Linked DNA regions of Xenopus tropicalis. The protein of the gene in region 2 purifies or fractionates together with the protein of the main gene of each other region. This does not show direct contact. Links are inferred from orthologs where the notes say so. Each region holds a gene or a part of one and is shown on either strand. Other genes may lie near its edges. The genes, in order: poc1a and coro1a.

Evidence for each region.
Region 1: the proteins of coro1a (region 2) and poc1a purify together in Homo sapiens (affinity purification with mass spectrometry; 3 studies listed by BioGRID and IntAct, counting the BioPlex papers as one, with this or other methods). This does not show direct contact. The link is inferred for Xenopus tropicalis from reciprocal best matches to the Homo sapiens genes CORO1A and POC1A.

What each region holds. Positions count from the first base shown.
Region 1 is NC_030680.2:128,787,958-128,792,511, forward strand, and holds the end of poc1a (POC1 centriolar protein homolog A), read right to left. Parts: intron 987-4,554; coding exon 867-986; 3' UTR 765-866; downstream 1-764.
Region 2 is NC_030685.2:2,354,737-2,359,190, reverse strand, and holds the start of coro1a (coronin-1A), read left to right. Parts: upstream 1-1,569; 5' UTR 1,570-1,644; intron 1,645-3,085; 5' UTR 3,086-3,093; coding exon 3,094-3,291; intron 3,292-4,454. UniProt on the Homo sapiens protein: May be a crucial component of the cytoskeleton of highly motile cells, functioning both in the invagination of large pieces of plasma membrane, as well as in forming protrusions of the plasma membrane involved in cell locomotion.

The DNA.
Region 1 (4,554 bases), on a different chromosome or scaffold from region 2:
TTTGTTTATGATACGGAAGTAACTTTGACAGCGCCTGCCAAAAAGTGGCTACACTCCTATGCCTCTGGCACTATGGACTCACATTCAGAACTCCGACTTTGGTATTCATCTTTTCTCTGTTCTCTTTAGATCAGTGTGTGTTTGGTATGGCAGGCTTGCTTTCCTCTTTAGCCTATGGACAGACAGCCTATGTATCATCTACATTGATCTGATAGAGAGCAGAGCCAATACTTTCTTCCGTAAGGATCTTGCCAAATTCTAGAGCTGGGCCTGAACTGGTTTACAATTCCTGTCTCAGTCTAGCCCAAAGCCCCCCAACTTGTCCTCCGTATCCAATCAAGCTGCCTCAAAAACTACCCATAAAAAATAGCATTACCCCCTAATAACTTTTTATAGTAAGTCTTATGTACTGCCTTCAGCCACTGGTTCCTCTACTTTATTTCTTGGGAGCAGGGCCAGACTGGGCTTCATAATAGCATTTCAGGTACACAGAGGCCCAAACAGCCCCCCACCAGTCCAATAAATAGTGACTGTCTATGGCATCTTACAGCATTTGCCAGAACCCACAGATTGCCAGTCCGGGTCAGACTGCGAGTACAGAAATCCCTAAGCACATTTGGCGATTTAGCAACCACTAAAATAAAAAGTATTCAATTCTTTAATGGACCAGCACTTTCATCTTTTACTATATTTTACAGAGATTTTCTGTGGCCAACCTCATTATCTTAATCGTCCTCACCTTAATATCTCACATTTGGAGGCTGTTTATTCAAAAACATTTTATTAAAAACAATACATTAAAATATTTACAATAAAAATATATATTCCACAACAAGTCAAAACCTGAATAAAAAGCAAAGCATTGATTAAAATGATGGTGTTTTTGTAGCACTGTGACTGAGTGAAACAGTTGCCTGCTGGTTGTCAATGCATTCCTTCAATTTGTCTTCTGTTAGAGAAAGCCTTTGCTCTAAAATCCCCACGGTCTGGAAGGAAGAAGAGTTTGTTTTTATATGGATTAAAAATTATACAGTCATTTTCATATAAAACTAGAATAATTGAGATATTGGTCAGGCAGGCTAAGGTGGGGGGGCAGAACAATAAGCACATACAGGCAATATATAGGCCGACAAACATTGCTGACTTGTGAACGAGTTGGTAACGTAATGGTCTGCGTTTGGGAACGCACCCCCCCCCCCCAGCCTGCTTGATCTTAAAGGGCATAACGGGTGTGCCACAACAACATGCCTTCCACACCAGGAGCTCCCTCCCAGTGCAGGTGGCCTACACCTGGGGAGGAGCAATTTTAAAAAAAAAAAAAAAAAAAAAAGAAAAGGGAGCCCAACCAGAGTGTGGGCTCTTTTAATTCCAAACTTTGATGGGGGGAATCAGTTTTAGGGTGCCCTTTAATAGTGCAACAATGTAGCATGGAAGCAAACCAATATACAACAGCTGGATGCTTGAGACAACACAAAAGTATTTGGTCAAACATCTTATGAGGACATTTAGGAGTAAGAGACATTTGTGCGGTGTATATGGCAGTGACCACACTGGACTCTTCTCTGTTCAGCTGTTAATGCATAAATAATGGTGTTTCCTAACTTATTAAGGAATGCTGAACTAACACCATACTCCAGCATCTCATGGTGGTGGTCGGCTGGCAAACACAACTTTTTGTTCTGTAGCATTTCCCTTTGGCATGCACGCTGCTACCTGGATGATGCCAGGATCACTGACCCTTGCAGCCAGCTAGTGGCTTTGAGATTTATCTAAACTTCCCTTTCTCTGGAATTTTATACAGATAAATAAAATAATAGCAGATGTTTTTCCAACTGGTGAAATAAACAGTTCACTTCATAGAACGTTTCAGTGGGAATGAGGCAACCGCAGTACAGTTTGATTTCTCTGCTCAACCATTAATGGTCCATACAAAGAACTGACGACTGGGAGACAAAGGAAGTAACAGAAAGCAGGTCTGTGATGATGCAGTGGGAAGGGTTTTATTGTTCGGGAGCTTTATATGTAGATCTTGTTGCCTAGTGAGGAAGTATGGTAAATATGTGTTTAAAACATTGGTTACCATGGAAAAGATCAACACTATAAATGTCAAATATGATTAACCCATTTGCTCAGCATAAGGGAAATGGCAAAGCTGTCATTTCCCTTGTGCTGAGCCTTTTGCCATGCAAAGGGAAAGGGGCAACAAGACCATCGCTTAATGGTGCAGAAGCATGTCAAGAGGGTGACCAAGCTAATAAAAGGGAATTGATCATTCTCATTATGTAAATAGGCTGACTAATTGCTACAAATGGAAATCCCTTGTCTGGAAACCCCCAGGTCCCATGTATCTTGGATAACAGATCCCATACCTGTATATATAAATAGGGACAGACAATACACTCCTGTCCCTGGGTGCCTTAAACTGTGCTTCTACCTGGACTGTTAGGACATACCCAACTCTCATTTGAAACACTGACTGGGACCTGAGAAGATATATGGGTTCTCCAATAAAAGGGCAATTTTTAAAGTAAGAAACCATTGTAAGCCTAGAGTGAAACCAGCACCATATAGTATTCATAATTGCCTACAAGATTCAGGGGGGGGTTCTTAAATGCTGTATATCTCTTAATGACAGAGCTTTCCAGAGAACTGATGAGTGATTGTAAGCTCTTTTGGGCAGGGCTCCCTTCACCTCCTGTATCGGTTATTGATTGCCTTATATGTTACTCTGTATGTCCAATGTATAAAACCCACTTATTGTACAGCGCTGCAGAATATGTTGGCGCCTTATAAATAAATGTTAATAATAATAATAATAATCCTTAAGGTGAAAAGAATTAGATGTGCACTGGAAGATGAATAAAAAGGGCATGTTATTTCTGTAAAGTAGTTTGGAAACTTCTGCCTTCAAATAAAAACTCCAGCCCATTCTTAGATCCTACGCAATGGGCTGCGATAAATATGGGGCTAGTTAAGAGCAATTATGCTCTGGGGCTCCCTTGTTCCTTTAAAGGGGCTATACACTCCCTTTTTAATATAAGCTGCATGAATTGAGCTTGTGCCGAACATACTTGTATATTTTCCCTACATTTTCTTTTCAACACCCTGTCTGTCTTACTGGTTCTGCCTAGTAACCATTTGCAGAGAAGTAAGTAACAAATGGACAGTCCACAGGTACATTCTCTGTTTTATAAGCTGCTTCTTATCTCATTGCCTAACAAAAATGGCATCTTAGTGAAGGAGGAGAGATTCTACATAAACAGAGCTCAATATCTCCATTCAAACAAATTACAATTTGAATGATGAGAAAAGGATTTTATGGTCATTTATCAGAGGCAGGGGTTTTAATAGGTAACGGTCACCAAAGAGTGAATCTTTTTCTGAAAAGCCAACCATCAGGCTGATCAGATTGTTTAGCCTTAGGCCAAACCACTGGATCATAGCGACAGGAATACAAGTTTTCAAAACTGCCTGATCAAAGTTTGCCTGATTTTTGCCCAGCTATTGGTTGGACAGGCTCTTCAGAGGGCCCTATACGCGGGCAGCTGCTGGCTCTATCTGAATCAGCAGCTTAAATCTGCCCATGTATGGATACCTTAACTCTTTTACTGCCAAGCACGTATGGCATACGTGCTGGCAGTAAAAGGGCTTAAACGCCAACGACGTGTCTCATACGTCGTTGGCGTTTAAGCGCTGCCCTCTGCAGCGGCGGCATGTGCCGCCGCTGCAGAGGGCTTCTAACAATGACAGCCCCCCTGGGCAATGTGCCAGGGGGGCTGTCATCAGGGTCCTGCGAGCCGATCGCTCGCAGGACCCTCCAGGAAGCAGCAGATGCGATCGCATCGCATCTGCTGCTTCCTGCTTCCTCCCTCTCCCCCAGCGCCGGCCCAAATGACGAAGGAGGCGATCGGTCTTCAGGAACAGGTAAGGACTTTTTTTTTTAATTGCATTTACACACTTTTACACACTTATACACACATTTACATACATTTATACACACTTACATACATTTACACACACTTACAGCACACATTTTAGCATTTTTTTATTTTATTTTTTTTTTTTTTTTTTTCATTTTTCACACTTTTATACACTTATTTACACTCATATACACACTTACACACTATCACACAACTTTTACACATGTACACACATGTATACACAAACACTTTGGTTTTTTTTTGTTTTGCTTTTTTTTTTTTTTTTTTTTCATATTACCACTTTGTTTTTATTTTCTTTTACCTAAAAACTGTTTATTTTGACAGCGTAACTATTGGATCAGATATTCTGGCCACTAATTACACTGTCATGTAACTTATTTTGTTGTTTCACTGATTTGCACAATTTTGTGGTTTTATCACATTTTATCCCTATATAAGTGTTCCTGATCTGTTTTTAGCGTAGCTTTGCCAGGTGTAACTTTGGTGTACAAAAATAACTTTACCTATTTTGAATTCATCAGAATGTGTACTTTCCAAAAATATATGGTTTTCTGGGGGTCACTGTATAGTTAGGGGGGGGTTACTGCACATAATACACTGACGGGGCTCTGTG
Region 2 (4,454 bases):
AGATAAGTGGGGCAGATTTGGTTGGGTGGGGAATACAGGGATGGGCAGGGGCAGATAGGTAAGTAGGGGCTAACAGAGACGAGAGAGAGATGAATGGGGCAAAGAAAAATGAGTAGGAGCAAATGGAGATGACATGGGGCAGAAAGAGATAAATGGGGCAAATTGAGATGAATAGAGGGAGATAGATATGGGGCATTCGGGGATATAGAGATGACAAGGGGCAGATAAAGATGCGTGGGGGCAGATAGACATAAGTAGGGGCAGATAGACATAAGTAGGGGCAGAGATGACATGGGGCAGATAGAGGTTAGTAGGGGCAGATAGACATAAGTAGGGGCAGAGATGACATGGGGCAGATAGAGGTTAGTAGGGGCAGATAGACATAAGTAGGGGCAGAGATGACATGGGGCAGATAGAGGTTAGTAGGGGCAGATAGACATAAGTAGGGGCAGAGATGACATGGGGCAGATAGAGATTAGTAGGGGCAGATAGACATAAGAAGGGGCAGAGATGACATGGGGCAGATAGAGATTAGTAGGGGCAGATAGACACAAGTAGGGGCAGAGATGACATGGGGCAGATAGAGATTAGTAGGGGCAGATAGACATAAGTAGGGGCAGAGATGACATGGGGCAGATAGAGGTTAGTAGGGGCAGATAGACATAAGAAGGGGCAGAGATGACATGGGGCAGATAGAGGTTAGTAGGGGTAGATAGACATAAGTAGGGGCAGAGATGACATGGGGCAGATAGAGATTAGTAGGGGCAGATAGACATAAGTAGGGGCAGAGATGACATGGGGCAGATAGAGATTAGTAGGGGCAGATAGACATAAGAAGGGGCAGAGATGACATGGGGCAGATAGAGATTAGTAGGGGCAGATAGAGATTAGTAGGGGCAGATAGACATAAGTAGGGGCAGAGATGACATGGGGCAGATAGAGATTAGTAGGGGCAGAGATGACATGGGGCAGATAGAGATTAGTAGGGGCATATAGACATAAGAAGGGGCAGAGATGACATGGGGCAGATAGAGGTTAGTAGGGGCATATAGACATAAGAAGGGGCAGAGATGACATGGGGCAGATAGAGGTTAGTAGGGGCAGATAGGGTTAAGAAGGGTGATACAGAGTTGGGGCTATTTTCCCTTTAACCCCTTGATGTTCCATGCACCCACCATCACTCTCTCTGCAGCAGTTATTAACCCTTTCCTGCCCAGTGCTTATATGCGGCCCCTCTCCCAGTATCAGGCCCCTGTCTATTAACTCCTTCCTGCCAGTGATCTACAGACTATGAGTCCATTGATACTTTCATTTCAGTGCAGAACCCCTTTAACCCCTTATTGCCAAGGGCATTGCCCCATTAACCCCTTTGTACATAAAACATCACCCTATTGGTGCTCCCCGGCCCTGGGTTTTTTGCCTTAACAAACTGCAAGGGTGCTGCAGATGATTGCGCTATTAACCCCTCCTGTGCTGGATATGAGGGAAGGGTGCAGCCCTAGTTTCCTGCCCACCCCCTGTCTCTTGCCGAGAATCTTTTAGAAAAGAAGAACTTGTGAGAGAGACAGAGAGAGAGCGAGCGAGAGCGAGAGGGCAGGAAGTGACTGGCTCTGAGCATCTGACCCACAGCACCGGGACCCACAGGTACAGTCTGGGGCAGGAGAGGGTTAATCAGGGCACAGGCTTGTGCAGGAGGGGGTTAATCAGGGCAGAAGTGCATTAATCAGGGCAAAGACTGGGGCAAATGAGGGTTAATTAGGGCACAGACTGGGGCATGTGAGGGTTAATCAAAGCACAGACTGGGGCATGTGAGGGTTAATCAAGGCACAGACTGGGGCATGTGAGGGTTAATCAAGGCACAGACTGGGGCAGTGAAAGGTTAATCAGGGCACAGACTGGGGCAGTGAAAGGTTAATCAGGGCACAGACTGGGGAAAGTGAGGGTTAATCAGGGTACAGATGGGGCTGAGAGGGTTAATCAGGGCACAGATGGGGCTGAGAGCGTTAATCAGGGCACAGACGGGGCTGAGAAGGTTAATCAGGGCACAGAGTGGGACAGTGAAAGGTTAATCAGGGCAGACGGGGCTGAGAGGGTTAATCCGGTCACAGGTCTGAGCAGGAAGGGGTTAATCAGGAAGGGCAGTAGAAGCTCATCATGCCCCAGGCTGGGGTAGGAAAGTAATTCACACCCCAAATGGGGCACAAAATGAGGGTTGGACACGGGGTCACTCTTCTCCCCTATATTTCCTCTCACTCACCTTCCTCTGTCACTCACTCTCACACTCATTCATGCACTCACTCACACTCTCTCCCACCCTCTGACTCCCTCTCATTCACTTTCACCCCATAACTCACTCTCTTCCCCTTCACTCACTCACTCTCTTCCCCTTCACTCACTCACTCTCTTCCCCTTCACTCACTCACTCTCTTCCCCTTCACTCACTCACTCTCTTCCCCTTCACTCACTCTCTTCCCCTTCACTCACTCACTCTCTTCCCCTTCACTCACTCACTCACTCACTCACTCTCTTCCCATTCACTCACTCACTCTCTTCCCCTTCACTCACTCACTCTCTTCCTCTTCACTCACTCACTCACTCACTCTCTTCCCCTTCACTCACTCACTCTCTTCCCCTTCACTCACTCACTCTCTTCCCTTTCACTCACTCACTCTCTCCTCTCACCCTGCCATCACCGTCTCCCACTCACTTTTTCCACCTCACTCACTCACTCTCTCCCCACCTTTCCTCTCAGTCTCCCCCCTCAATCCCCCTGTTGCCCCTCACTTACTGACACTCTTGCCTCCCTCACTTTCATCCCTTCTGCACTCACTCACACTCACTCTCTGGGTGCCGCACTCTGTGGCATATACTCCCACTCTTACCCCCCATGTACCACTCACTGCCTCACTCACTCTCCTGCCTCACTCACTCTCCTGCCTCACTCACTACCTCACTCTCCTGCCTCACTCACCCCAGTCTACTTGCCCCACTCATTTGCACCCCTACGCTCTGCGCTATATTTCCTCTTGCCCCTATTGCATTTGATTCCCCTCATTTTTCCCATGATCCTCTCTCCCCCCCGCAGGCCGCACCATGAGCAGGAAGGTTGTGCGCACCAGTAAGTTCCGCCATGTTTTTGGCCAAGCCGTGAAAGCCGACCAATGTTACGACGACATCCGCGTCTCCCAGAACACCTGGGACTCCAACTTCTGCTGCGTCAATCCCAAGTTCCTGGCCATCGTGGTGGAGGCCAGCGGGGGGGGCGCCTTCATGGTTCTGCCTCTCTCTAAGGTGAGTCACTCACCTGTACAGGTAGGGGAGAAAACTGAGCAAGCACTCACCCAGGAGCTGAGTGGGGCACATTGTTGTTAGTGAGTGAGAGAGGCAGGAAGTGAGTGAGGGAATACTAAATATTGGGGGAGGGGGAGGGGTAAGTGAGTTATTGGCATGTGAGTGAGCAGGGATGAGGGTGAGTGAGCTGTCAGTGTGAGTGCAGTGGGAAATTTGTAGAACACTATAGTGAGTGGGTAGGTTGTGAGGGGAGCAGGTGAGTACTGGGGGGTGAGTAGGAGCGGGGGGCGTGCACGTGTGAGTGGCTGAGCACAGAGCGGCAGGATGTGGTTGCTACAGGATGCTGAGGGCGGGAGGTGCAGGTGCGAAGTAGACACTCACAGGCAGAGAGGGACGTGCGCCGACACCAAACAGCCCCGGAGAGAGGATTTATACTGTGGCACAGTGAGAACTTAGAGCCCAGCTGAGGGGGGGAAGAAATATAGCACGCTCAGTCCACTTCCTGTGCTTTCAGGAACTATTGCTGTCTGCTTGAGAGCTCATCCTCCCAGAATTTATAGGTGTTCACCCTAAAATAAATGAGGGAGACACCAAGTGTCCCGCAGGCTGAGGTTTGTCCTGTTTGAGCTTAGTGCAGGCTGAGGTTTGTCCTGTTTGAGCTTAGTGCAGGCTGAGGTTTGTCCTGTTTGAGCTTAGTGCAGGGAGAGGTTTGTCCTGTTTGAGCCTAGTGCAGGCAGAGGTTTGTCCTGTTTGAGCTTAGTGCAGGCAGAGGTTTGTCCTATTTGAGCTTAGTGCAGGCTGAGGTTTGTCCTGTTTGAGCTAAGTCCAGGCAGAGGTTTGTCCTGTTTGAGCTTAGTGCAGGCTGAGGTTTGTCCTATTTGAGCTTAGTGCAGGCTGAGGTTTGTCCTGTTTGAGCTTAGTGCAGGCAGAGGTTTGTCCTGTTTGAGCTTAGTGCAGGCAGAGGTTTGTCCTGTTTGAGCTTAGTGCAGGCAGAGGTTTGTCCTGTTTGAGCTTAGTGCAGGCTGAGGTTTGTCCTGTTTGAGCTTAGTGCAGGCAGAAGTTTGTCCTGTTTGAGCTTAGTGCAGGCTGAGGTTTGTCCTGTTTGAGCTTAGTGCAGGCTGAGGTTTGTCCTGTTTGAGCTTAGTGCAGGCAGAGGTTCCTCC